Linked DNA regions of Mytilus edulis. The protein of the gene in region 1 binds, or shares a complex with, the protein of each later gene. Links are inferred from orthologs where the notes say so. Each region holds a gene or a part of one and is shown on either strand. Other genes may lie near its edges.

Region 1 (7,181 bases):
AATACAGTCATTATCATTTATGATAAGGAATCCGAATAAGATTAATTAATAGTTATATCAGTGACGGATTCAAAAAAAGGCGATCCGGCAGTTTGAAACCCTTTTTTAACTATCAATGCATTTGTATGGAAACATATATTTGAAATCCCCTTTTCTCCTGGATTGGACCCCCTCTCCATTTAAAAATGGCCGGAACCCCCAATGTATATAAAGTGATTTATGAGGAGATGCGCTTACAAAACCGGCGAAACATATTGTACCGGTCCAACGGACGAACGGAAAGACGGACTTCTTTATCACTATAACCCCCCGCTTATCAAAGTGGTGTACAATTGAGTGTCAGAGAGACAGCTCTACATCTTAAACAAAGTGAAGGAACTGTGATCAATTATAGGCTAAAAGTACGGCCTCGAATGTGTGTAAATACATGCATTTTTATATAACAACTAAATCTGTGTGTTTGTACAATTTTAAGTATAACGGAGGATATTTCTGAAACTTATATACTAGTATACATCAAACCTTCCTCTTATTTTAGCAACATTTAAACATCCTTATACTTAATGTAGTAAGTCGAGTACACCATATTAAGCTAAAAAAAAATGTTTCATAAGTTTTTAGGATGAGAATGTATTTAAATATATTTGTGTTATTTAGAAAAATGCCACCTTCTAATGTATCGTAAATAACTTTGAAATCACCACTAGAATACAATGACACAAAGACTGATCATACAGTTTTAAAATATACAAGCGAGACTGATCGTACAGTGAGAAATTCAAACAAGTGTAATTTTCTTATTTCTGGCTTCAAAGATCTGGTTGAAACTCTTAACACCACTTGAAATATACTTCATTTAGTTAATTAAGTCTGTTTTTTACGTTAATTTGTACACTAAGAGGGTAAAAAGATTGTGTTTAGGTTCGCCGACTGATTTTTTTAGTGATGCACTTGAAAATCTCTTGATTAAGGCAAAGATACGAATAATGAATGTGTGGAATTTAATTCTAAACCATTTGAGAATATCGATGTTGGCTGAATTAATCATTAAGCAATGTACAGATGATCAACTTACCGTTTTTTTTTCAGTATACCCATCAAATTTAAAATGTGATCCAAAAAGTTCTCGCTTCGAAAATCGCGACTTCCGGATAGCGTTCAGAATAGTATCTACACTGTGTAAACGGAATCTTTTTTTTTCTTACAGTCAACATTGTACTTTTACGCTGAGAGCAGCGATCCCAGGCCAGACACTTGAACTTTTATAATACACTTGACAATTTATAAAAAATCATTATTTCATGTGACATTAACAGAGTTTACACATGAATTTGGGACAAATTTATAGATAAGGACAAAATAATTAATAGAACGACAACATTGAAATGGAGACTTGCTCTTTGATTACCTTTAAAATTTGGATTTTTCGTCCAGTGATTGTTTTATCCTGTATTTCCTTTTAAAACAGCAGATTTTACTGTTTTGGACATTTTTCTCAAAAATTTGCCAATGCTCATTACATTTCAAATCAACACAATCAATAAATTAAACATGAAAATGACTCTGAAGTGTGATGCCATTGACGAGTTTTAATGAAGGAAATTGTATGTCTTTCTCGATTAGGGGACGGAGACGATCATTTAATATTCGGGGGGGGGGGGGGGGGGGGGTGCTGGATTTTGGTTATTTGGTTATTTATTTTTGTAGACTGTTGAAGCATGAATTTCATTAAAACAAGGCCGGACTGATTGTTTATTTTCACAACTATATTAGTTTTAATAATACTTTAAAACACACAATTTTTAAATTAATGTTTTTATTCTTAAATAGAAGCACATGTAGGATCTAGTCATTATGTAGCTTTTAATCAGAATTAATCATCATGCATCCTCTGGAAGTGAATCTTCTGATTTCTAAACTGCAATTATTGTATACGTACAAACCTGTATTAAAGTTGGGCTGTGACTAAGTTTTTTTTTTTTTAAAAACAAATGTTAAACATAGGTGCCAGGCATGCAGAACGCGATCGAAGTGATTTTTTTTCGGCAAAGAAATTTGGGCCACTGAAGGTCCCGAGCAGCTATAGAAAATAAGGATGAAAATCATGCTATTCTGCGCTTTTCCCGGACCCTTTCTTAACTTGAAACGCAAGTTCAGTTTTCTTTATTTTTTCGATAATGTTTTCGTCTCAAAGCCGTTTGAAAATATATAGATTCAGTGTAAAACTTTATTTATGGTATACAAAAGTCCGGCGTCTGTCTGTCAGTCCGTTCGTCTATCTGTCCGTTCGTCTATCTGTCCGTCCGTCTGTCCGTCGCCTACATGTTCGCGCACCGTAACTTGAGAACAACTTATCCAATTTTCATGAAACTTAACGTAGTTGTTTCTTATGATGGTCAAACGATCTGTATACTTTTTAGTGAAAATAAGATTTAAACTTTTTGAGTTACAGGACTTTGAAACTAAAACAGGGGGTGGGTGTTTTTTTCACATGCCGCGTCGTATCTCAGAAACTATTTATGATTATTGCATAAAACTTCACACCAGTGTTAGTTATATTAATTTGAAGATCTGTATACTTTTTCGTGATGGTTCTTTATTTAATTTCTGAGTTGTTGAATTTTTATTAAGCTTTTTGGTAAAAGAAAAAAAGTAGTATTTTTTGGTCACATTTTGCGCAGTTTCTCCAAAAGCGGATTTCAGTTTTATTTCAAAAGACTACGGGCGTATCATGCGCTCGGGGTGCAGCTGTTTGTTAGAATACGACCAGCCAGACAAATAGTCACTCGGGTTTTTCTTTTTTTCCAGTAATTTTAAAACATGATGGCATTTAAGAGAGAGAAATATGTTATTTTTTTTTAGTTTAAATGGTCAAATGCCTGTGGTAAGTGGGGTGCCTCAAGGCTCGGTCTTGGGGCCCCTTCTTTTTCTGATATTCATAAATGACCTACCTGCAACAGTAACATAAAAACACGCTTGTTCGCAGATGACTGTATTTTGTACAGAACAATTAAAAACCAACATGATTGTACCATCTTACAAACTGACTTAGACTGCCTAGCCAAATGGGAACAAACTTGGGGTATGCAATTCCACCCAGAAAAATGCAACTCACTAACTGTAACAAGATCTCAGTCACCATACAAACATAACTATGTACTTAAAGGCCACATTTTAGAATCAGTCAACAGAGCAAAATATCTTGGTATCAAGTTATCCAACAACATGTCATGGGATACCCATATAAGCAACATCACGGCTAAAGCAAACAAGATTAGTCTTTTTACGAAGAAACTTAAAAATTAATCAGGAAGAAACAAAAAGTTTGGCTTATAAACCTATGGTACGATCAAACCTTGAATACTGCTCTTCAGTTTGGTCCCCTAACACCCCAAAACAAAAAAATAATATTGAAAAGGTACAAAGAAGGGCAGCACGGTACGTCACCAACAGGTATCATAACACCAGTAGTGTCACTTCCATGATTGACCATCTTAAATGGAAGTCACTAGAAACTCGCCGAAACATCAATCGAGTAACAATGATGTATAAGATCACACACCAACTTATAGCAGTAGACCAAAACCTTTACCTCTCACCACAGCGAGTCAAAAACACCATATTCACCAATTCACTACAATATCAAACTTTCAGCACCAGAACAGATTACTTTAAGTACAGCTTTTTTCCATACACAGTTGTACTCTGGAATCAAGGAATTGTATATAAATATTCAATTTCTTGCTGGAATTCACTACCACAAAACATCATTAGTGTAAACTCTTTGGATCAGTTTAAAATACTGATCCAAAGTCAGTATATTATAATAGTCATCCACCCTGTTTGTACATATATGTAAATGAGTTATTTTTATTTATTTTGTTATTTTTGCACAAATTAAATTTTTGATTAATGCACTCATTAGATTGTTACTTTTTATTAAGTGTCTGCCGCGATGCGCCGACGTGTAGTCATCAATGTAGTGATGGATCGTCGTATGATGTAGATGTAGATGTAGAAATTAAAAAAACACCCCTTTAAAACATGTTGAAATAGAAGTAGGTATTTCGAGTTTTTTTACAGAAAAAAAAATATCCCACTTGTATCGCAAAGTCACGAATTTTTCATTTTGATATTGCGTTTACGAAACTGTTTCCGTTTCTGTTCCGGTATCGACTTGAGGTTTCCTAAAATATTTACTGGTTTCCTGTCATTACGACGACGTATATCTTCCTTTAACATATCATAAGGTTAACAGCAGATATCAGAGAAAGAATGGTGAATTTATATCGAGAGTAAATCTGATTATTAACAATCTTTTAATACTTGATTTGTAGAATAACAAGCTACATTTCACAAAAAAAAATTAGACTTTTCAATCATCTGAAGCGTCACATCGATTATTGTGGTATAAATTAAAGAAATTGAAAAAAAATTACCATAAGCAGCCGGTAAACATGGTAAAATTATTCCAAAGAATTATCACGTCTTGAAAAGTTGAAATGCTGTCATATTTTTTTTGCTTTGATGCCTTAGTAGCAGTAAGGCATTGTCGCAATCAGTTGTCAGCCTTTAAAGTCGTTTTAGACTACCTGTACCTGTACACAGATAATGTGTCCGTAGCTATTTTTCAAGGCGGCAAAATAAGAAAATTGTTCCACACACAGCAGCCCATAAGAGATAACATTAGAAGATGTCATGGTTTTATTACTAACACTACTTTCTGGCCTTTTTTTTCAATACACCTTTTCACTATCATGCAGTGAATCATGACTATAGTTTATGCATTGGCGGATCCAGGGGATGGGGTGGGGGGGTTCTGGGCATTTGAATGGGGACATATAGCTGGAACACCCCCCCCCCCCCTTTTTTATCCTGGGTTGGTTATGGTAAAAGTTGTAATCGTACAAAGATCTTCTCCTATGAAACTATTGAGACAAATATAGCTAAACTTGGTAATAATCAGTACACACTTTACTGATGTAATCTCATTGCAATTTATACCATAAATCTCACTATAATACATAATATTAATACAATAACCAAATATATATTTGCCGACTGCCCAACGTAATCTAGAGGACACCGAATTTATTACAAATAAATAAACATGACATGTGAAATATAACAGCATGTGTGATATAACCATACAGCATAACATACTGAGTTGTAATTAATAATTATAAATCATCAAAATTTCTCCATCCTTAACGATCCCGCCGGCCAGGAAAAACCAACTATGTCGATAGACGGCGTTGGAAACCTGTGTCCAAACCCTAACTTAGTCGAAAGTTAATATGCTCGAAAGACCGTTTCCGGAGTCATACTTGGACAGTATACTTAAAGATATGACATAAAACAAAAAAATGATATAAAGTGAAACATGAAACAATAATACATTGCACAAACATAATAAAAACCCAATTAAGATCTAGATATGAAATATTAATGAGAAACGATATATACAAATATCGTTAAGAAACTTGACTGTATCAGTGTTGGGTAGAGAGTGATTACTCCACGGGATTATTTCCCGCTCATTTATTACATGTACATGTAAACATGTGATAATCACATGATTAATCAGACGGAACGTTAGTACAATAATTTTCCTCTATACTGCGAAACGCGGAAAATTATAAGTACACACTTTACTGATGTAATCTCATTGCAATTTATACCATAAATCTCACTATAATACATAATATTAATACAATAACCAAATATATATTTGCCGACTGCCCAACGTAATCTAGAGATCACAAAGAAAGGGATGAAAAGAGCCCAAATTATAAACCAAGTTTTCTAGATACTGATAATCTCATATCTAAGGAATCAGCAATGTAACCATCTTTGCTAATATCTGATTTCCACCTTCCATGACGTTTAATACATCTCTCATTTACTTCTGACCTGGCTGCTGCAGAAGCACCACCAGAACGTAAAGAATGCAAACCTAGGTTCAAGTCAGGAGCTACAGTCTTTAATCTACGTACAATATTCTCTTTTGTGGCTGTATAGCTTAACTTCTTATTCTTATATATCAACTTAGCTAACCCCTTAGACCTAAAAATCGGTCGAAATATAAAATAATCCGAATTAACATCCAAACTAGCAAGTGAAATGTATCGCTTATACATAACAACTGGACATGCCAAAGTGTTACCCCTAGAAATAAGTATCTCGTTACCTTGTCTGTATTGATCGGTCTTGGACCGGGGCAGAAAAATAGAAATATGATCATCAAAAATCTTAACATCCCTACATGTAATAGAACTTAATTCGTCAAAGCGCAAAAATCCAGCATAGCCTATCAAAATCATAGTCAAATCTCTAACAATAAGCAAGTCATTTTCAAATTCATTAATTTTACAGAGTTCAAGTATTATATCCGAGGTAACAGGGTCCTTCTTTACGACTGGTTTTCCATTTAATCTTTTACATGATTGAGCTAACGAATGAATGTAAGCGTTATTTGTAGGATCAACGTAACCATAAAGCTCATGTACCCACTTTAAAGCATAAATTATCGAATCTAAAGTACAAGGTGATGACTTCTTGTCAATCAATAAAGTTAAAAACAATGAAACATGAATCGGATCTGCTGGTAATTCTTTAAAACCATATCCTTGAGCAAAAGATATCCAACGATTATAACTAGCAAAGTACTTTTTTGTAGTATTGTCACTTTTAGACTGGATAAGATAAACCGACATCTTTTCTGCTAATTTTCCAAGTTCAACCGAACATCCTACAGTACTCTTCTCTACAATCTCCACAACATGTTGCCTCAGTCCTAAGCCTGAAAATCGCAAATATGGATCATTAGAACATAATATTTAAAGCTATCAACCTAAATTTAAGTGGCCATTTCCCGAAAATGCCGTTTTTACCGGCACCCTTCACTATAACTTTGTCATTTGTAAGATAAATAGCGTCTGAAACAAAACTCTTAAAAATTTCTTGTGCACAAAGTAAAGGCCAAAATGCCGCCGATTTCCATTCTGGTATAACCAAAATACCATTAGCACGCTCATTGCACATTTTGTTTACTGTTTTTGCAATCAAAGAAGGTGGGGGTACCAACCAATTGTTGTCATTTCCCCAATATTGACTAAAACTGTCAACTGCTTCAGTTCCTGGGCACCATATAACTGAATTGAAACGCGAACAATGTGTAT
Region 2 (6,840 bases), on another chromosome or scaffold:
CATAATAATAAGGTCAATGTCAGATGAACCATGCCAGACAGAAATTTTCACTTTACAATCAATCTTTGCTTTAATTATAGTTGTATCTAAGAAAAAATCTAACATGTAACCAGGAAAACTTTAGATTGATCAATAAACCATGAAAATTAGGTCAAGGTCAAATGATGCTTGCCAGACAGACATACACACCACAGCTTACAATATTTCCATACTACAAATAAAGTTGACCTATTGGTTATAGTTTGAGAAAAACAGACCAATACACCAAAACTTAACACTGAGCATTGAACTGTGAAAATGAGCCATTCATGAGGTCAAGGTAAAATTAAACCTGCCAGACTAATGTGTACATCTTAAAATATTTTCATACAGAGGAGAAATGATAAGAAAGAAATTAACATTACAAAAAATCTTAACTTATTTTTTTTCAAGAAGTCAATGAACCATGAAAATGAGGTTAAGGATGATGGACATAAGACAAACAGAAACTTCATAACCTAATTAAGGCATCTATATACATTCGAATCGACTGGAACTTCATAAACTAATTAAGGCATCTAAATCTATATACATTCGAATCAAAGTAGGAAGTATCCAGATGAGGTCTTCCACCTTCTTCGACATACATTTTTTAAGAAGATAGCTAAAGCTGCAGCAGGATCATTATACATTTTGTACCTATGTCAAGCTATTTGCTGCAGAAGTCACAGGCTCAACATGCTCAACAAAAATCATTCATTTGGGGATGGAGTCCCCTATTACGGAAGAAAAATCAATTAAAATTTTTTTTTTTTTAAAATCAGGAAAATTTTACTGAATTTTTCAATAAACTAATGACTTTTTTTAAATCCATGCATTTGCGCAGAAATCTATTTCCTTTTTCCAGTCTTGTATGCATGAGACTTTGAATAAAATATATATTTAATATCAGTATATTAAAATATAGGATTGGAACTCAATACCAATTCATTTTAATATGAAAAAAACGTTACCTGATGAAAGCGTTTCTTTGTTTACATTGAATATGATGTCATAACTTGATTAACGTCACACCTAAATCCCTTACAACAGAACCAAAATCGGATATGTAACAGTATTTCCTTTCCTTTTATTAACATGTTTGAATTAAAAAAAAATGCATACAGACATGACAGACTTTGTCCCCATTTACAGGCATGACAGGTAATGCCTGCCTCATATTATACTAAAACAGATTTCACATTCTTTCAAAGGTATGACACATGCCTCATTACATGTATCAGATAAAAGTGTCTGTCTTAGGAAATGTTAAATAATCAAAGCACCAAAGGGTGCTATAGGCAGTTAATCAAAAACCCAAAGGCAAACTTGGCCAAGTTCAGATGAATAGTGTAAAGAATTAGTCGAAATATTTATCTCAGGCATTGTTCTCAGCTATTTCTAAAGTATCAAATAATGCTTGTACAGTAATGTTTATGTTATGCAATCCTACCACTTTCAAAAGTAATTTCCAATTTATATTCATAAAGATTCAATGTCTGAGATTATACACATACACTGTCCTATCTTAGGGGAGAGTTTTGTGCCAGTTAAGATGTTTAAGCCGCCACATTCTGTATGTACCTGTCCATAGTGAGGACCCACTAATGCGGTGATTGTTGCTGTATATCATATTTATTTTTCATAATTGTTTTGTACATTTTTAAAAATTTTATTAATTTCTTGTGTATAACTTCTGATTTTAGTATGATGTCCAAGTTATTGTAAATGCTCTTTTGTTCCGACGTTGGAAAGTTCCAGGCGGAAAGAACTAACTAGCCGAAAAGTTCTCCAGAACTTATTAACTACATTGTAGTTACTTTGTTCTTCCTCTGGTTTAAAATTTTATAAAGTTCCACCTGAACAAGTGACTAGTTGAAATAGTTTACATTTTTGTTATCATGGTTATTGTGTTAAGGGGCCAGCAAAAACAATCCTTTGGGTGTAGGAGTTTCTACCTGCATTAAAGATCCATTGGTAACCTTCGACTATTGTCTGCTCTAAGATCTGGTTATTGTCTCTATTACACATTCCCCATTTTCACTTTCGATTTTTTTTACGTCTCAAATTATAACTGAATTAAAATATGTTGATTACGGTTTAACTGTCTTCCATTACTAATATCATAATAAAAAAACATTTATTTAAACTTTCAATAACTGTAATAGTAAGAATTAAGAAAAACTTGTTTGTAACTATAACTTGTTGAAAACATATTAAACGTTTCTCGAGTCTCGTTAATCGACTCGTTACCTTTTTATCCTATCATGCGATTTCTTTTCTTATTATTTTCAGGGGGAAATCGTTTACCAGCATAAAGTTGCTGAAGGAACCGCATAGAATTGATTCAATAACACTTAACGAGTGTTTAAATGTGAAAAATTATAAAAAGAAACATATAAAAAAGTCGTATTTTTCTGTACCGGAAATCGAGAAGTCCTTGTAAATCAAAACAATTACAGTGTGATACGCGTCACAGATTCAGACTTAATATTTTACAAAATATGCGACTTTGAAGTTAAATAATGCCGTCCTTTAGAAAACAGTTGTTAAAGTTTACATCACAATATTTATTGAACCACATCGAGCTTAAGCAAAGCACGTGTAGAATTATGTTACATTGTGTAACACCAAAGCGAAACAATCTTAAAATGACCTTGACATCAACCAATCAGAAAACTACAATAACAACAACTTAATTTGACAAGCATGAAGGTGATTTGCTAGAAATCGGAATAATATTAAAAAGAAAACAAATGAGCATTCATTACAGATTACTGAATAAAGATGATTTAAATAATCTCAATCAGACAAAAAAACGAATAAAATGATTAATAATAAAAGTACCGATGTATCATCAGAATTCTCCCAATTTAAAAGGTACGTAAATTTCGTCTTCTATGTAATTTGAAATTGCCGCCAACTTATATCAGCTTATATATAGACTACTGACGTATGTGATACGTATCGATGACAAACAATATTCCTACGACTTTTGCCATCTGGGAAATGTAAAAGACTCATCTATATAGATTTTCAGCGATCAAATATTTCATATAATTGTTCTTTGACATCTTAGCCCACAGCACAGGGGGTAATAAACTATAGAAGGATTTCTATCGAGCACTACTTCCTATGTGCAACTTCAAAACTTTTGGGAAAATCGACGACCATTTAACGTTTTTATGGTAATATTTTTTATATTCTAAAATAAAAAGTATGGAAAAATGCCCAATTAGTTATAAATAACATGATAGCCAGCCAGAAAATAAAAGCGGCACATATTTCAGCATTTATTGGGTAGAACATAAATCTAGGGTGCTCGCATAAAGCAGCTTAACTGCTTAAAAAATTGTGAACAGGAGAGTTACCTTTTTGGGAACATCCCGTTTGACAGAAGATGATGATTGCCTCAAAAGGAGTAAACTTTCTCGACTATCTACAGTTTTAAAATATTGAATATGATTCTGGTTACAAATTGAGCATAATGCTCTAAGGCGTATGTCTGAATTAAAAATCAAATTATTTCGGTGGCAAGGTAGCTTAAAAAGCTTAATTCCGAACTTTAAATAATTTGTTTTCAATTTGCACCAGGAGGCTGACATCTTTAATCAATTTTGTACCTCCACACTAAAGAGCTCTCCATGTTTTTGTTTATTTTTCTCAATTCTTTCTGTATCAATATGGGTCGAAAAATATTTGACTGAATGAAATTATTGATTTTCAAATGAATTAACCAATGTTCTATGACTTTACGCATTATAATTCGATAACGAAGCAATAACGTGAAATGAGTTCTCCTGTGTAGAAAGGTACATTTAGTCCTATTTTTTTCATTGTCATTTGTGCGTTTAAAAAAAGACGATTTTCTGGAGAAAAAATAAGATATTTATTGACATTAATGAAGAAGAAAAAATCATAAAAAAAAATTTGCAAGCATGGCAACTACAAGAAAATTGGACTGTAAAAATTTGCATGGTTACTTAAAAACTTTACCATGGCATGTTTTAGACAAACTATATTCACATCCTGCGACTTGCTTGGCTGTATTTAGGTATGTCCATCGAAGTAACCGATTCAAGACGTTTTGACTTTTGGCCTGACTGCCAGTTCGGCCACAGTCGTTTCGGTCTGTTATACACCTTATCGCTATTTGTCCGCCATTGCTGGATATCACACAGGTTCCCGTAATATTTTGACGTCATAAAACAAAATATCTGACACCACAATGGAAAAGTGATTGTTGTATGCGTCAAAAGTTCAAGCGGGCGGGTCAGCCGGGATTAGCGATAAGGTGTATTTCGGCCATACTGACAGTTCGGTCATACTTTGTAATGCACCAACAGTTAAATTGAAACATTATTTAAAATGTCTTTTTCTAATGCATGTCATACAAAAGTCTCTTGTCCACTAACTATCCTATCGGTAGTCTAAAACCTGTCATCTTATAATTTGGTTCGTTCGGTATTTGTGTTTGTACTCATCACACGGTAACCACATTGATGTCACTATGCTAATACCAGCGTTCAAAATTAGTGCACAATACGTTTTTTCTACTCTTGTAAATAAAGAATACATTTCTAAAGATATGTTTTCACTGTTATTCCAAAGTATTGTACAAAAATGCCAATTCTCTAATGACCGTTTCAAACCTGACTTTCAAATTCCTAAAAACATTTCAGAACTTCACAATATCCCACTTCAAGCCTCCATTGCTTTGTGTAATTCCATTCAGCGTCATCAATCTTAGTCATGTTAGTGGTAGACAAAACAGGCCAAGCAAATTGTAAAATAAAACAACGAATTCATGACCGAATTTTACAAGAACAGAATTCATATATTACAGAATCATCAAAATTATCATTTTTTCTACAGTTTTGTTTTTCAAATAAACGTGCACACTATCATGACAATGTTCATTATGTTGACCAAGTGAATATGTTGAAAGATCAAAAAATATCAAAGCTATTAGCCTACCGAAAAAAGAAAAAAAAAAGGTCAATACATGTAGGCGAAAGACTTACCACCATAGCGGGATATATCATGTCTTGAATTATGACATCTTGAAAGGGTATTTATTTTTTCTTGATTTTAACGCCTTTATACTGCTCAGTATTTAGGCACAAAAAATAAAATAGCCTTTCAATATGTCATAATCATTTGGAATAGTCTACTTTCAGACCACACTTTATGACAAAACGATTATCATGATTATTTGTTAAGTAATATGAGCATGTACATCAAAAGCTTAACATCATAAAACATAAACTTGAAAATTTACAATTTATTTGAGCACAACATTACATTCAGTGTATGCTCATCAAGTACTCAAAAATAGTATCTACAAGTATTATAGACATTAAATAATTAAATTTATTAATAACAAATGAATTAACCTAACAATTTCTTGGAACAACATTTAAATCTTAACAGGTACTATGGCCGGATCAGCCTATGGCCAAACTATTTGCGTAGCCAAATTGTCTTGAAAGAGAAGTAGCAATTCTAGATTTAAAAATAAACCTTGCTGGCTGACACTGACAGGCATTTTCGATTCTATGCCTCCGCCATAGTGTATAGTTTAGTTTATTTCAATTTCAGACAATTACCAGATTTATCCAAGCACTATGTTATGCGGATGTTATTTATTGAACAACATGTATCACAATCAGTGGTAAATCTGTGGGTTAACAGCAAATACCAAGAGTAAGTGTATAATTCTGTAAGACTGAACACTTTTAAAGCCTAATAAAGTTGTCGATATATGTGAACCGTGCATGCATGCTGTAAGCATGGTAAATATAAAAAAAAAGATGTGGTATGATTGCCAATGAGACAACTGTCCACAAGAGACCAAAATGACACAGACATTAACAACTATAGGTCACCGTATGGCCTTCAACAATGAGCAAGGCCCATACCGCATAGTCAGCTATAAAAGGCCCTGATATGAAAGTACACTCCACATTCTGTATGTGGCTGTCCAAAGTCAGAAGCCTGTAAATTAGGAGATAATTGTATAGTATTTTATGCTTGGCCTTCCTTAAATGTAGATTTTACTATTACAAATTGAGTTTACATAGAGACAATAAAATCAAGTTTTAAGAAGTCCAAGTTCAAGGAATATGTAAATTTGAAAAATCAAGTCAAAAGTAGTTTACCAATCGTCACATCTTGTAAATCAATTCAGAAGCGACAAAGTAAGGTAACAAAGACAAAATTTGGGAGCATCACATCACATCAACAGTACAATTGTATCTACTGTACATCATTGTGTACATGAATCACCCATTGAAAAAACACAAATAATTTTTAACTAATCAAAATGTTAGAAAAACATCAATGAGACTGCAAGTGCAACCCAACAACACTAGAATGACTAGCTATCCAAAATGAATCAATAAAAAGTATAAAACTGAACATCCATTTATCAGTAATCCGACATTGTAAAATAACAGTGTCTATACATTCTGGTCTTTCAAAAAGTACTGAATTTTGTCACTAATGTTTTGAATTACAGTGAACAGAAACAAGCAGTAACAGCATTAACTGACCTCAGAGTATGGCACGAAGAGACTATGACTGGTGGACTTCAAGGATGGAAAATGAATCAAACTTTCAGAAAGAATATGAAAATAGCCTTACTTGGAGGGTAAACATGAAAGAAATATTCAATTATCTAATGCAAATGTAATACAGATTTATTTCAAAAGTTTATGTTTAAGAAGAGTCAAAATGCCTGATTTTTATGAGACATCATCTTTTGTATTGGAATGATTTGTGTGGTTCTAATTATTTGTCACCTCACCCAAGATTTTTCTA
Region 3 (7,541 bases), on another chromosome or scaffold:
ACAACACGGAGCAAAACAAATCCTCTCACCTCACTGTATGTTTAAGACAGTCCAGGGACTTTCTATACTAGTATAGACTGTCCCTGGACAGGCTTTAACTAGCACCGATGATAAACATATTCTTACCCTCTTAAACATAATGCTGATGCTGCGGAAAACTACTGGAACATTATATATACTATTCCCATTGGAACATTAAGGATAGTGGTGCAGCAAACTACTGTCATTGTAATGTAGGATACCGTGAAATAAGAACAAGAATACATTTATAAAACAAGTTTTAAACATAACATGCATTTAAGTGATCAAAAGGCAGTGACTATTTTGCCAGCTTTGATTAAAATATTCGATTTCAAGCCTGCAAAATAGCATTTTTTCTATAGAAATGGCTATTTTACCGCCACCAGCAATATCATAGTGATTTTTTTTATTTTTGCAGATTCTTTGTAAAGAATGAAATTTAATATTCACGTTTGAAAAGTACTATAAAATGTGAACTGTCAACATAAAAGAATCAAAATCATATCGTTTAAAACGTTAAAAATTCTCTGAAACTGACATTATCAAGATGCCTGATTTCTTGATTGACAACATATTTTATTTCTTACTATCTAACTCTAATAAATAAACAACAGCTTTGCAGTTTGACGTTTACTAGTTACTTAAGTAGTATATATCTCCCAATTGATCTCCCAATTGATACGATATTCCCGTGCTTGTATTTCCTATCATGATATTCTTCACAGAGTTGCTGCTCACAAATAAGCTATTAAACCATAAGTTCAAAAAGGTCAAGTTGAAATCATTCCTTCGTAAATTTTACGGACGCCATCATGAGTTGGTCGACCGTCATGGAATAATTTGCCCGTTTCACAGATGATATCATATATATATATATATATATATATGTCCCTTACGTTAAAACTACAATCCCCTTCGCTTTTCATGAATATGACCTACTGAATAAGACTATTTGCCGGGTTTGGTATAACATGAGCAACACGGCAGGTGCCCGTGACATGTGGAGCAGGATCTACTTACCGTTCCAGAGCACCTGAGATCACCCCCAGTTTTTGGTGGGGTTCGTGTAGCTTAATTTTTAGTTTTCTATGTTGTGTCATGTGTACTATTATTTGTTTGTTTGTCTTTTATATTTTTAGCCATGACGTTTTCAATTTATTTTCGATCTATGAGTTTGACTGTCCCTCTGGTATCTTTCACCCCTCTTTTAAAAAAAAATTCCAGTCACAGCATAAAGAAAAATTTATAAAACTTGAAGAAAAAATAAAGAAAACTGCGTCAGGACTGCTTAACAATCGAAAGAATTTATATATGTAATATAAAAAGTAAAAAGAAAGAAAACGGAGACATGAAATGCCTGTCATTAGCGTTTGAGACAAGATTTTGCGGATTTAGGCTGCTTGTGTCTCTTATTGATGAATATGTGCCATATAGTGCGGTGACTGAAGGCAGATTTTTTGGAATTTAATCTCCCCACCGAACACACATCTACATAATATATCATTGGAAAGAAGAAATCGTGTACTATAATAATATGCCTGTCGTCAGGACTTGATGTGGTCACATTTTTTTAAAATTGAGGTCAAAGGTCATATGTAAAAATCTGTGAAAGTTTGGGAGGGTTTCAATTTTGACATTTTTTTCTATTTCTAAACTCTACCTATATATAAATGATACTGTTTTGGCTTAAGTAATGTTTGTTTTTATACATAAACCTTAATCATTGAGATTTTTTTTATCAAAAAAGATCCTAAAACCACGTTTTATAAACAAAACTTCAAAAATCAAGTTTTCAACCTATAAAATGTTTAAAGCACCTTAACCTTATGAAAAATATCAATTTCAGGTAAAAATCAAGTGTCATGCAGGACAATACTTTAAAATTATTTTTTAAACTATCATAGTGGGTGAGTCATCAAAACAAAGCCATAGAACACTACAGTCAAATATGACCTCAAATTGAATTTGCGGATACTTCAGTTTTTTTATAGACTACTCGTTGCTTTTGGGTTTTTTTTTTCACAATTATTACTGCTACCATAGTATTATCTTTTGTTGTGTATTTAACTCTGGTTAATATCTATTACATTATAGGTTTTGTAACTATGTCCCCCCTTTTATCCCTTGCAACGTACCCCAAACTTCAAAAGTATTCCATATAAAAAAAAAGAAGATGTGATATGATTGCAAATGAGACAACTCTCCAAATGAGACCAAATGAGACATAAAACAATGATAGGTCCCGTACGGGCTTCAACAATGAGTAAAATTCATACTGCATAGTCTTCAATTCCCGAAATGAATAATGTAAAACAAACAAATACTCTAACGACCTGATTAATGTACAAAATAAATAAGAAAAAAACAAATATAGAATATAGAAACACTGCATTACCGTCTCGTGACTTGAAACAGACACATACAGATATTGGCGGGGTTTAACTTTTTTAAGGGCACGTCAACACTCCCCTAACCTCGGACTGGAATCGTGTGTACCAGTGCAACAAGCTTTATACCAAACCAACCGTTATCTCCATCATCTTCATTTTCACCAACCGTCACAAGACATGTTTTAATATTTCTACACATTTCACTTATGGCCACAGGTCTGCACATGAAAGGTTCTGCTCAAAGCAAACACTTTATTTTGAGTTTTTCTTTTCAAGTACAGACAAGGTATTGTAGAAAGTCCGAACACATTTGTTCCTAAAAAAAATACCAGCTTCAAACCATCCCTATCAATTCATCCAAGATTTTAAAAGAGATCTAAAAGGAGGTTTAGGAAGGTGTGATGACATCCATATGCTTGTCTGCAAAGATGCTGGGGAAACATTATACAAGACGTACGCACTATCTTGAATTCGCTCAATTTCATGGTTGGCAACACATTAGATAGCGTCGCACTTTACTTTAAGAAGCATAAAATCCATTGGCATTAAATGTTTCAACAAGATGTTTTGAACCAAACTCATGGTACATTTGTAAAGCCAATCCTAAATGAAAAGGAGTAAAACAAAAACGATTGCCTCAACAATTGCTTAAGCATTTCCACAATTTCTCCGGTGCCATATCATGAGAATAGTCTTGGCTGTATGCATTTTCATTGAGTAACCATAGAATGAATTGCAATAAATACGAAGGCATTGGCTGAATTAAAAACGAAGAGAAAATTCATCCGAAATTGGGTAGTCTTCTTTAGAGTTTCGATGTCTTTTCTAAGTAAACTTGCAGCGGAATGAAATATCTGCCCGAAACTGAGGGACAACAGTCAGATAATTGTATGTCGTCATTAAATATTAGACAAGAATCTTCCTCGCTCTAAAAGGGGGAACAAATATGTTTACTTGTGTAAGTTTTGTAGCATGAACGATGAATAACTGCCTGCACGGAGTTTTTCAAATTAACAGCTATTGTATGAAACAGCTTGATGTTCATGATCACCTCATCCAATCTTTTATGCAATGCAGATACAAAAATCGACTTCCCTAAACTGGTAAATTGACTCAAAATTTCAATCGAGGTTTTTTTATTTGGCATATTATGCACTGCATAAAATGCAACGACTTTTGTCTTTTCTTTGAACTTAATGGAGCAAGTTGCAAAGGACTTGACATATCACGGAGTATTTACTGAAACTATCCGTCAATTATTTTAATTTTACAATAAGACTTTTCTGACAAAGTATATTTGATGTTTTATAACGAAAAAACATAGAATATAAACATATACAAACAAAGTATGTGGCATATATCAGTGCACTGTAATTGAAAATATGTGTATATAATAGCGAAAAAGGTAGTAATTTCATATATCATTTGAGAGCAAATTATTGACTAATACACAAAATGTGACGGAAGGCAACTGATTGAGTTCCGTGTTGAAATTGAAGATATTTACTTCATTCTTTTTTCATTGATTTCTTAAGGTTTTTTCATATTTTGTTTCCGAAATTTTTATCACTAATTAGTTTTATTAAATATTATATGCTTAAAATATTATGGGATAATTTTTATTACTACTATGAAGAGGAAACTAAAGTTTGAGTCTGAATTTGCAATTAAAATTACCTCAATTTCAAATAGTCTAAACTTCGCAAATTTTATAGATTAGAAGAAAATAAAATACTGAATGGAATATTATGACATATAAAAATAGCTTCAGGAAAAACTATTTCAATTAAATGTAAGAAAACATACACATTTTTTTCATTTTGAAACAGGGGGGTTGAAACTCTCCAATATACTACCAGTCATTAAAACGACTTTTTAGAAAAAAGTGACCGTACGAAATTCTGACGAAAGGGCGAAAACTAAAGAAGACATATTTGTCTTTAAGTTAAGACCATTTTTAGCCGTGTGTTATTTGGGGAGATTAAACTCGCGATCTAGACGACTTTTTACACTTCTGTCACCGCACTAATAATGTCGATGAATAAAAACATTTAGGGTCGTAGTGGTATATAATGTCCCTTTTATTTTTGCGGTCATCATCATATTTTTTTTTTAAAAACCCGAGAAGTATCGAACAGATGTTTATATGTATAAATAACTCAAATTGCCGGCATTTAAATGGCGCATTTCAAACGCGTCAGTTAGTTGTGAAATCCACAGTCATCTGATACGAAAACTAACTGAATATAAAGAAAGGGTTGTAAATTATACGAAACCAACATGTATTTACCAGAAGAAGGTTAGAACTGATATACACACATCGCCCCTGGAGTACTTATACCTTTTTCAAACAATAACATTGCATTTTTTTTTTCAATCTCTCTAAAGTCCTCTAAACTGTAAATCAGTTATTATGATTATATATATCTAAGTATGATAAAGAGATCACCAGAAGATTTAATTAAAAATGGTTTTACAGTAATGGGGAAAACATTGGGCCATGTTTACAGTTTTGGGGAATAAATGAAGAAATTATTCGAGTGAGTGGCTCTGAAGAAATTTTGATAAAACTGATGTACTAAATGACAACAAAGGTATTTACATATCAGTATGAAAAATAACTTTACAGATATTGACAAGCTGGTGAAAGACTATCCATTGCTAAGTCTAGAGAATAGGTTCTGATACTGACAGTCCATAGAACAGAAAAAAATAGCCAATGGCATCCTCTCAACCAAGGATTTGTAAAGTAAACTATACTATACAAATCCTTGTCTCAACTGACAACATAAACAACCAAAACAATACTTGACGAGGAAAAATCAAACAATCCAAAAATAAAAAACGTCGGGATTTCGTAATACTTGAATAAAATAAAAAGTAACTGCCTACAATGGTCAATGGAGATAACCAATGTCAATGTGCACACAACATGTATTTTAACGATCACTTAATTTCATTCCTGCACTGGAGGGGATAGGGCTTGGGTAAGAGGGAGATTTCCTGGGCATTGGGTCTGTTTGCCCCCTATACGTTGGTATCAGGTCTGTTCACCCTAATTACATGTTCGCCCTGAGTCGGACCCGGACCTAGATTACTTTACGTTTTATCTGCTTTTCCACACCCTATTCCTATTCAAATACTTATAAACAAAACATGTATTTTGTAGATATGCATGAGGCAGAGGAGGACAGTGATGAAATTACCCCTGATTTATGGCAGGAAGCCTGCTGGATTGTCATCAGTTCCTACTTCGACGAAAAAGGTTTGGTGAGACAGCAGTTAGATTCCTTTGATGAGTTTATTCAGATGTCAGTACAGAGAATCGTAGAAGATTCACCACAGATAGATTTACAGGCTGAGGCACAACATAAATCTGGTGGTGTAGAAACTCCAGTAAGTCAATACAGACAAGACACTTAGTATAGCTAATTTGGTCACATTAAAAGATTAATATATTTTCGGTTGTAAAGAGTAGAAGTTCAACTACTTTAAAAATATACAATGTACATCTGTCATAAATCTTTTATAATCTGTGACCTGCATCAACAGATAAGCAGTGAAAATGAATATGTTCGAAAAGTGTGTAAACATCATAACATTGTTTTCTTGTGCAATTTTTCTTGTTACATATGTTTTTGCGTTTAAACATTGTTATAAGCAAACACTTTACAGGGACACATTATATAGTGAATCTATAGTCATGATAGTAGAACCCATAATAAACATAAATTATATTTTGCAGCCTAGATACTTGTTGAAATTTGAACAGATTTATCTGTCTAAACCAACTCATTGGGAAAAAGATGGTGCTCCTAGTCCTATGATGCCAAATGAGGCACGACTAAGGAATCTTACGTAAGTTATAAAAATTATATGGAAAAATGCTACATGTACATGTAACTATATGCGCAATAATAAGTCTTTTACGTTGGTTAACCCCAAAAAATTTTCAGTTGTCCTGGTTATTGAATTCATAGGAATAAATAAACCTTCAGGGATTGTGACATTATAAATTTGAATCTTTTTAAAGTTGACACAACTATACTATTAAACGAGAAGACCTCATTTTGTGTGTCTTCTCTTCCTTCCACAATAAATCAATCATCATGCCTCTGTGTCCTATAAGTACCAAGCATAGTCGCATTTGTCATCCATTCTTATGCTTAATCAAATTGAATTCTTTTGAGAGAGAAACGAAAAAAAGGCGTTTGGATATTGTTACCGTCGTCAGACCGACTTTTAGTCATAGATAAGACTTCTGGATTTAAACTTGCAGATGATTTTCATAGTACTCGGAGAGAGGTCAATAATTTTGCGTTTATCTACATGTATACTATATATGATTAAACTACTATAATATATAGAGACTCTATATACATGTAATTATAGCAGTGATTGCCTTGGAAAGGAAACTTGGAACTAATAGTTGAAAGCAAATACACTTTATTATTAATATACGTATGACGGTATGTTCATAGTATACAGAAGTCTTCAGACCACAATTAATTCCCTTTGTTCCTGTTCTTGGAATATAGTTCCCAATTCAGTGATATTGTTTGCCTCAAATAACAGCCGAAATTCGGCCTTTTCCCCTAGAGAAAATTCCCAATTACTAAAAAAAATGGCTTAAAATTCCTCCCAAAAAGGTCTACATTTTCCCAAAACTGATGGCATTGGTAGTAATGTTTGTAAATATCGTATTCATGTTATTATTTTGATATTATAAAGCACTTTTGAGATCCGGTTTTCTGATCAGAATCATCATGGTGTTTGTAACACATGTGGTTTTCAATGCATTAAGTACCATCATTGCTTCTGTTTCTTTCCCCTCTCCGAAAAGAACCTTCCGGGTTGAAAATGTCTGACAACCAAAATATACATGAAAAAACAGTGCAAAAAAGACAGCAAAGGTCAGCCAATAATCGGAGATGTGTTTAGAATAATATTTCCCAATTTCAATAAAAAATATGCATTTTTCCCAATAAAAAACGGTAGAGGTAGTTTTGAAAATAGACAACAATATCACTGCAATTATTATATGGAGTAATGATTCCGAAGTATTCTGTCCACTCTACTGGTTTTTTTTTTAAAATGTTTACTATTTAAGAGGTCATGATATCAGTTGCA
Region 4 (7,909 bases), on another chromosome or scaffold:
AATACAACGGTCAATACTTACTACTTCTCCATCCATGGAACATGTTTACTTATTAGTAAGATTATGAATGAGTTGAGAAACTAATACAATAGTCAATACTTACTACTTCTCCACCCATGGAACATGTTTACTTATTAGTAAGATTATGAATGAGTTGAGAAACTAATACAATAGTCAATACTTACTACTTCTCCATCCATGGAACATGTTTATTTATTAGTAAGATTATGAACATGTTTACTTTTTAGTAAGATTATAAATGAGTTGAGAAACTAATACAACGGTCAATACTTACTACTTCTCCATCCATGGAACATGTTTACTTATTAGTAAGATTATGAATGAGTTGAGAAACTAATACAACAGTCGATACTTACTACTTCTCCATCCATGGAACATGTCTACTTATTAGTAAGATTATAAATGAGTTGAGAAACTAATACAACAGTCAATACTTACTACTTCTCCACCCATGGAACATGTTTACTTATTAGTAAGATTATGAATGAGTTGAGAAACTAATACAATAGTCAATACTTACTACTTCTCCACCCATGGAACATGTTTACTTTTTAGTAAGATTATAAATGAGTTGAGAAACTAATACAACAGTCAATACTTACTACTTCTCCATCCATGGAACATGTTTACTTATTAGTAAGATTATGAATGAGTTGAGAAACTAATACAATAGTCAATACTTACTACTTCTCCATCCATGGAACATGTTTACTTATTAGTAAGATTATGAATGAGTTGAGAAACTAATACAATAGTCAATACTTACTACTTCTCCACCCATGGAACATGTTTACTTATTAGTAAGATTATGAACATGTTTACTTTTTAGTAAGATTATAAATGAGTTGAGAAACTAATACAACAGTCAATACTTACTACTTCTCCATCCATGGAACATGTTTACTTATTAGTAAGATTATGAATGAGTTGAGAAACTAATACAACAGTCAATACTTACTACTTCTCCACCCATGGAACATGTTTACTTTTTAGTAAGATTATGAATGAATCGAGAAACTAATACAACAGTCAATACTTACTACTTCTCCACCCATGGAACATGTTTACTTATTAGTAAGATTATGAACATGTTTACTTTTTAGTAAGATTATAAATGAGTTGAGAAACTAATACAACAGTCAATATTTACTACTTCTCCATCCATGGAACATGTTTACTTATTAGTAAGATTATGAATGAGTTGAGAAACTAATACAATAGTCAATACTTACTACTTCTCCACCCATGGAACATGTTTACTTATTAGTAAGATTATGAATGAGTTGAGAAACTAATACAACAGTCAATACTTACTACTTCTCCACCCATGGAACATGTTTACTTTTTAGTAAGATTATGAATGAGTTGAGAAACTAATACAACAGTCAATACTTACTACTTCTCCACCCATGGAACATGTTTACTTTTTTCTCTTGTTGGTTCTTTTGAAGTTGGTTTATCTTTTGTCTTGGTTAAACCAGATTTTCCAGTCAAGAATGCTTGCATTGTAGAAATCTAAAATGACATACATATTGCATATATACATTAGTGTCATGATTATTACAAGTTTAGATATGTATTTTAGTAGTGCTTTGCATGTATTTCCATATGCCTGTGCTGTTATATATCTTGTCTGTGTTTTAATGTTATTTTATCTTCGGTGAAAAGCTCTTAACCCTTTCACCGATAGCTGCCCAGAAAGAAGCTACTCTGAGACGATGGCTTCCCTGGCTACTATTACTCAAGTGGGAGATCTTCATAATAAATGTCAATAAAAACTTGTCTATAGTTATTTGTGTCTTTATTTCATTCACTAACACCATGTTCACAGTTTTGTTCATGTTTTGATAATTTTTTCTTCATAAAATATTAATGAGGCTGTACAAATTCCTTACACTGAACGATGTCCATTCCAAGTGTTTTGTACATGAAACGACATTTTATGTAAAAAAAAGTATACACATTTGGCTTCAATTCTTCCATATTCTTTCAAAAAAAATGTTCCCTCATTTCAAATTCTTGTTAATTCCGTAAATTTCCTTGGATTTTGACATGGTTTTCAACAAACAGAAGCGCCATGTTTACACTTTCATTAGGGTATCCAACAAAGAAAGATAACTCATGTTTGCACTGTTTTTAGCAGGAAATATAAAAGAGGTATTCCGATCCCGGTAAAACGGGACTCATCGGCAAAAGGGTTAAGAGCTTATGTTTGTATTGTTATACATGTATATGTAAACCGAATCAAAATAAAACTTTATTATTCGTATAAGTACATAATCATAAATAAACTATGAATTCAATAAATATTTACATGTACATGTACGATGTGCCACAGTCGCCTGAAGATTTCATAATAATAAAAAATGGGGGAAATATTTCAACCATATTTTGCTTGAAATCTTCAGGCGACTGTGGAAAATATGTGCTAATTATCAAGTCTTGGACACAAAGCTTCAATTATGGTAATCAGTTAGCCATCCCAATGATCGACATTTAAAAAAAGATATTAAACTTCACTTTCAATGTTCTGACATTAACTGTAAAAAGGCAGTGCATCATTTGAAGTGTGCAACATCAGCAACAGCATTCTGGTATGTGCTTTCTGGCCGGGCCCGAATTAGTGGTGTTACAACTTTAGATAAAGGTATCAATGATAATTCACAGGTTGATTTTTTCTGTCAATCATGATTCACAGAAAATAAATTTCCATGATCACGATCACAAAAATATAAAAAAAAAAATCTGTAGAAAAATGGATCATGCGAAAATGTGCCGATCACAAAGAACGAAAATAACCCATCAGGCCCCTCCCTCATAATAGTAAATTACTTTTTTCCTTAATATTTAAAAGATTTTATTTTGAGTGCTTCGTTTTTCCCAGATTTTTTTCTGTGCAACGTTTTTGCGATTTGAACAGAACATCAATAATTATTTTGTGCTTTGAAGACATAAAGGTGGGTCTCATTGGGATCTAAGCGTGATGTGGGATTACTGATTTTTTGTCAGCATGATACGTTAAAGTCAAATTATTGTGCCGTGAAAACGGGAAATGTTGTATAGGCTATAGCAGGACACAGGAAATTACAAGAAAAGGAGAATTGCTTACGTTCATCTAATCGAATTCGTGGATGACATCACTAAAAATATGAGTGCAGGTAAACAGACAGATGTTCTTATAATGGATTTCTCAAAGGCATTTGATAAAGTCGGTCACAGTCTCCTAGTACACAAACTAGAACATTACGGTATCAGTGGTAAAACCAATAGATGGATTGCCAGCTTCCTATCACACCGAACGCAAGCAGTGGTTGTGGATGGAGAGTGCTCATCACATATTGATGTAGAATCTGGAGTTCCCCAAGGCTCTGTCCTTGGTCCTGCATTATTCCTGTTCTACATCAACGACATGCCAGATGGGATCAAATCCACTGTCCGCCTATTTGCTGATGATACAATAGCATATCTTACCATCTCATCCGACAAAGATTCAAACGACCTTCAAAGCGACCTCGACAAACTAGGAACATGGGAAGCCAAATGGAAAATGTCCTTCCATCCGGACAAATGCAACGTTCTTACCATCAGCCGCAAAAACAACACCATTCCAACATCTTACACATTGCATGGTCACAAACTGGAACCTGTCAAAAGTGCTAAATACCTTGGTTGCACCTTCACATCCGAACTGAAGTGGAATGATCATATCAATAATATATGCAACAAAGCCAACAGGACTATAGGCTTCCTAAAGAGAAATCTAAATATAGGAGCAACCTCAGTAAAAGAAAATGCATACAAAAGCCTTGCAAGACCAATAATAGAGTATGCAAGTCCAGTATGGGACCCATACTTTAAAACCGAAATAGATCGTTTAGAAATGGTCCAGAGAAGAGCAGCAAGATACGTTTCCAACAAACACCATAATCACTCAAGTGTCAGCAAAATGATTGAGCACCTGGAATGGCCATCTCTGGAAAAAAGGCGAAAAGATGCTAGGCTAACTATGCTCTATAAAATAGAACACGACAAAGTGGCTGTAATTAAGGAAGGTCGTCTTATGCAACCAACACGACTGTCGAGGAACATGCACGACAAAAGTTTCCAAATTCCAGCAAGCAGAAGTGATTACAGAAAATACTCATTTTTCCCAAGAACAATCAGGGATTGGAACGCTCTCCCTCCTGGGGTAGCATCAGCACCGTCAGTCGAGGCCTTTAAAGCCTCACTGACAAAGCTGAACTAATTTATTGAAATTGGGGGGGGGGGGGGGTCTGCATGCGCACCTCAGTCATGACATAATAATCAGCTCGTTGATTGTGGTCATTATCAGGCAGAAGCAGAAGCATAGTCATGATATTGTAAGCGGGATACGGGAATCTGACAAAACAGTAAGCAGGATCAGAACCCCCCCTTCCCTCAATGAGACCCCCATAAACTAAGTAATAAACAAATTTGACAGAACTTAACGCAGAGGTGTATCATAGATGTATGCAATATATGAATATAAAAAAAAATATATAAAAATATATGAATATAAAAAAATTATTCTATTCTAATACTTCTTGGTTATTGTATTAGGTTGAGCAGCTTTGTTTACTTTAGTCTTTAAAATATTATTATCTTGATGTGAACTGGTGAATGAGCAATCGATTCTCAGCTGTTCTGCAATGAAAGTTTATTTCCCGCTAAAAAAAATTGTGGAGTGAGTAAAAGGAAGATTAATAAGACAAATTGTGATCACGATAATTTTGGTTGAATCTTGTTTTTCAAAACACTGGTTATATTTTTCATCATGTCAGATATTTATAATTCCCCACTAAAAAACTGCAATGAAAGACAGATTTGATGTCGAAATTTCTGAGGCGAAATTTCCGTACAATTTAGCTTTTATTCACAACATGTAATTTTTGTACCTTCACGTTAAAGAACTAAACTTTCAGCTGTAATGTCTATGCCCCCAGAGTTTGAGAAGGCTCATACCCCAAGAGATGTAGATCTTAATGCTGCAGGAAGAGGTGTATGGTTGGTTAAGGTAAACTCACTTGTTACATCACTTATTTGTGACACACAGCAGTGAAAGCATAGTCATGATACATGTAGTCCCTTCTGAGAAAATATTTTTATTGTTTACCTGTTTACTTTGTTGTACCACCTGCTGAATCCGGGTCCGTCCGCCCTGATTCTGGTTCGCCCTAGTTTCTGTTCGCCCTAATACCTGTTCGCCCCGAGTCCGTTCGCCCTGATTTTATTTTTTAGTATAGTGTTGCGTTGTGTGTATATAATTGAATGTGTTGAAGTCAGTCTTCAATTTCGCCGAATATTTATGATGTATCGTGTTATTTTGTCTAAATCTCGTGACACCAAATCGCCGGCACTGCAGCCGTCCCGCTAGACCACACGACCACCTGGGCTTCACAAAATATAAAGCTTTCGGTGGCTGTGTGTTACCTTTCCTCGTCAGTTTTAATCTAGCGGCGTACTACAGTACATGATATATAAGGCATGGAGATGTTATTGTTACAGATCAGCTCAATTATCTATAGTAAAGGATCCTACAAATTAATGCAAGATACAGTCACAGAAAATAATTATATTTATAAGTACGTCTGAGTCAGTGACAACTCTACAACAGATGTATCCATCGGATCACCAGCAATGATGGTGATACATGGCTGTGTACATAATGTATATACAACTCGTCTAATCATCAACCCAACAATGTTAGATCTGTAAATTTGCTTTCGAAATTTTTTCGTTCATTGATGTAACATATATATATCAATAATGAATTTAGGACGAACAAACCCAGGGCGAACGGACTATCAGGGCGAACAAACTCAGTGCGAACGAACCTAGGGCGAACGATCCCGATACCCCACCTGCTACTGTTGTAAAATTTCCTGTAGACTACAGTGCAAATCAAATGATCATACAACAAGGCATATTTATTGTCTACAATACTGGTATAAAAATTTTGTACCAGTATTGTAACTTTTTTTTTTAAAACAACAATACTGGTACATTACTGATATACCAGTATTGTAGTTGTATAATTGTTGACTATACTTTAAGGTGTATAATGAAAAATTAATTTTAAGCAAAATTAGATTTTGAAGTTCAAAGGGAGATTAAATGAACACAAAAAGATTATAGAGGATTATTGTGAAATCAATAAAAGATTAATTACCTATATATATATATATATGTATTGTTTATTTAAAAAAACACAATATTGGTACAATACTGGAATACAATACTGGTACAAATTTTTTATACCAGTATTGTGCACAATACTTGTATACCAGTATTGCGATCACCAACTACAGGAGATCCATGGAATTTACTATCACAAACTATAATTGAAACCACCACTGTTGAGATCCGCTAACACCAGCTGTTCTCTCTAGCTTCAAATAAACAAATTCAAACAAAACATGTACATATATTTTTAATCAAAATCTGTATATACAAACACTCCAATTGTTATAAATTATTTTTATGAATTTTGTATAAATTTTTGTCAATCACGCATGCGCAACAACATGTATTCTTCAGTATTGAAGCCTTGTTGACCTTAAAGAAGAAGAAGAAAAAAATTAATTGCAATGGATCATGGCAGGCACATGTATACACCTTATCTGAATATCGCTACATATGTGTTTGTATTTGGAAATCTGTCCAGCCTGACCCAGGAAATATGCTATTTAAAATTCAACACAGGCTTTAATAATATCGATATAGATAGACAACAATATCTAATAACCAATGACAGTCGGACCAGAGGTATAGGCCGCTTTTACCAGGAAAGAACAAAAACTGACACCTATGGACAGTCATTCTTCCCAAAGACCATCACTGCATCAGGGATTGGAATCAACTTCCAGCTAAAACAACATCGGCTGACTCGATAGAGGGATTCAGAGATGCTCTGAAAGCAGGCTCTGGAAGGAAGTGGACAGCATAGAGTGTATATAATTTTAATTGTAAATTGGCGAACGTTTTAAATGTAAATAACTTTGAGAAGACTTGCTGCCTTGCCAGGTACTGCGCTAAGTTTTCGCGGGACCATACACATTCAATATGAATTTGGTTCCTTACTTCGAAAAGAAGAAGAAGAAGAGGAGTCTGTCCCACTTGAACTTTTGACATCTTACAACAATCACTTTTCCACTGTGGCGTCAAAATATTGTTATTATGATGTTAAAATTTTACAGGAACTTATGTGATGTCCAGTAATGGCGGACAGATAGGCTAGCAATAAGGTGTATAAGGATAAACTGAGTCAGGACATAATTTATCTAGTGAAATGTAATTTATTATTTTAGTGTTTGCCAGCAATCACCTAATCACTATTTTTCAGCAGTTACTGGATATCACAAAGTTCTCATAAAATTTTGACGTCATAATAGAAAATTTTACAAAGTATCTGAAGCCGCAATGCATGGAAAGTACATGTAATTGTTGGATGATGTCAAAAGTTCATTTGGACAGATTCTCGGGTCAAGTGGGACAGATTTCTAAATAGCAATAAGGTGTATTATTTCTGTAAGGAATCTGCGTCCAAATGTTTTACAACTACTTTTTGGCTGCTCTCAAACAAATAACAATAAAGGTTCAATTAACTTGATGTGTGGTCCAATAAAAGTGGACATACATGTTCATGTACAACCACCAATACAGGTGACACTTTTTTAAAATTAATATTAATTTAAAAGATATTTTCGATTTTAGAATGAGGGATGTATGTTGGACAGGTGGGGCCAAACAGTGTCCATTCATTCACATGAAAATGCTTTGATGAAATTTTTTCAAATTCAGATATGTGACTTATTATGTGATTGAGTTATTGCCCATTGAACAAAAAATAATAATTTTTTGAATTTTA

The links. Proteins that work in one complex are often made in the same cells at the same time.
Region 2: transcription initiation factor IIE subunit beta-like (region 1) and general transcription factor IIH subunit 4-like share a complex: the UniProt entries of both Homo sapiens proteins name them as parts of the TBP-based Pol II pre-initiation complex. The link is inferred for Mytilus edulis from reciprocal best matches to the Homo sapiens genes GTF2E2 and GTF2H4.
Region 3: transcription initiation factor IIE subunit beta-like (region 1) and DNA-directed RNA polymerase II subunit RPB2 share a complex: the UniProt entries of both Homo sapiens proteins name them as parts of the TBP-based Pol II pre-initiation complex. The link is inferred for Mytilus edulis from reciprocal best matches to the Homo sapiens genes GTF2E2 and POLR2B.
Region 4: transcription initiation factor IIE subunit beta-like (region 1) and general transcription factor IIF subunit 2-like share a complex: the UniProt entries of both Homo sapiens proteins name them as parts of the TBP-based Pol II pre-initiation complex. The link is inferred for Mytilus edulis from reciprocal best matches to the Homo sapiens genes GTF2E2 and GTF2F2.

What each region holds. Positions count from the first base shown.
Region 1 is NC_092344.1:17,771,611-17,778,791, forward strand, and holds the start of transcription initiation factor IIE subunit beta-like, read left to right. Parts: upstream 1-4,179; 5' UTR 4,180-4,278; intron 4,279-7,181. UniProt on the Homo sapiens protein: Recruits TFIIH to the initiation complex and stimulates the RNA polymerase II C-terminal domain kinase and DNA-dependent ATPase activities of TFIIH. Both TFIIH and TFIIE are required for promoter clearance by RNA polymerase.
Region 2 is NC_092345.1:75,550,056-75,556,895, forward strand, and holds the start of general transcription factor IIH subunit 4-like, read left to right. Parts: upstream 1-3,832; 5' UTR 3,833-3,956; coding exon 3,957-4,072; intron 4,073-5,619; coding exon 5,620-5,724; intron 5,725-6,538; coding exon 6,539-6,670; intron 6,671-6,840. Other genes in the region: valine--tRNA ligase-like, read right to left, coding at 3,390-3,623. UniProt on the Homo sapiens protein: Component of the general transcription and DNA repair factor IIH (TFIIH) core complex, which is involved in general and transcription-coupled nucleotide excision repair (NER) of damaged DNA and, when complexed to CAK, in RNA transcription by RNA polymerase II.
Region 3 is NC_092347.1:65,787,931-65,795,471, reverse strand, and holds the start of DNA-directed RNA polymerase II subunit RPB2, read left to right. Parts: upstream 1-4,533; 5' UTR 4,534-4,691; coding exon 4,692-4,710; intron 4,711-5,580; coding exon 5,581-5,807; intron 5,808-6,156; coding exon 6,157-6,269; intron 6,270-7,541. UniProt on the Homo sapiens protein: Catalytic core component of RNA polymerase II (Pol II), a DNA-dependent RNA polymerase which synthesizes mRNA precursors and many functional non-coding RNAs using the four ribonucleoside triphosphates as substrates.
Region 4 is NC_092346.1:81,244,255-81,252,163, reverse strand, and holds the start of general transcription factor IIF subunit 2-like, read left to right. Parts: upstream 1-4,901; 5' UTR 4,902-4,969; coding exon 4,970-5,056; intron 5,057-7,909. Other genes in the region: replication factor C subunit 4-like, read right to left, coding at 1,418-1,527. UniProt on the Homo sapiens protein: TFIIF is a general transcription initiation factor that binds to RNA polymerase II and helps to recruit it to the initiation complex in collaboration with TFIIB.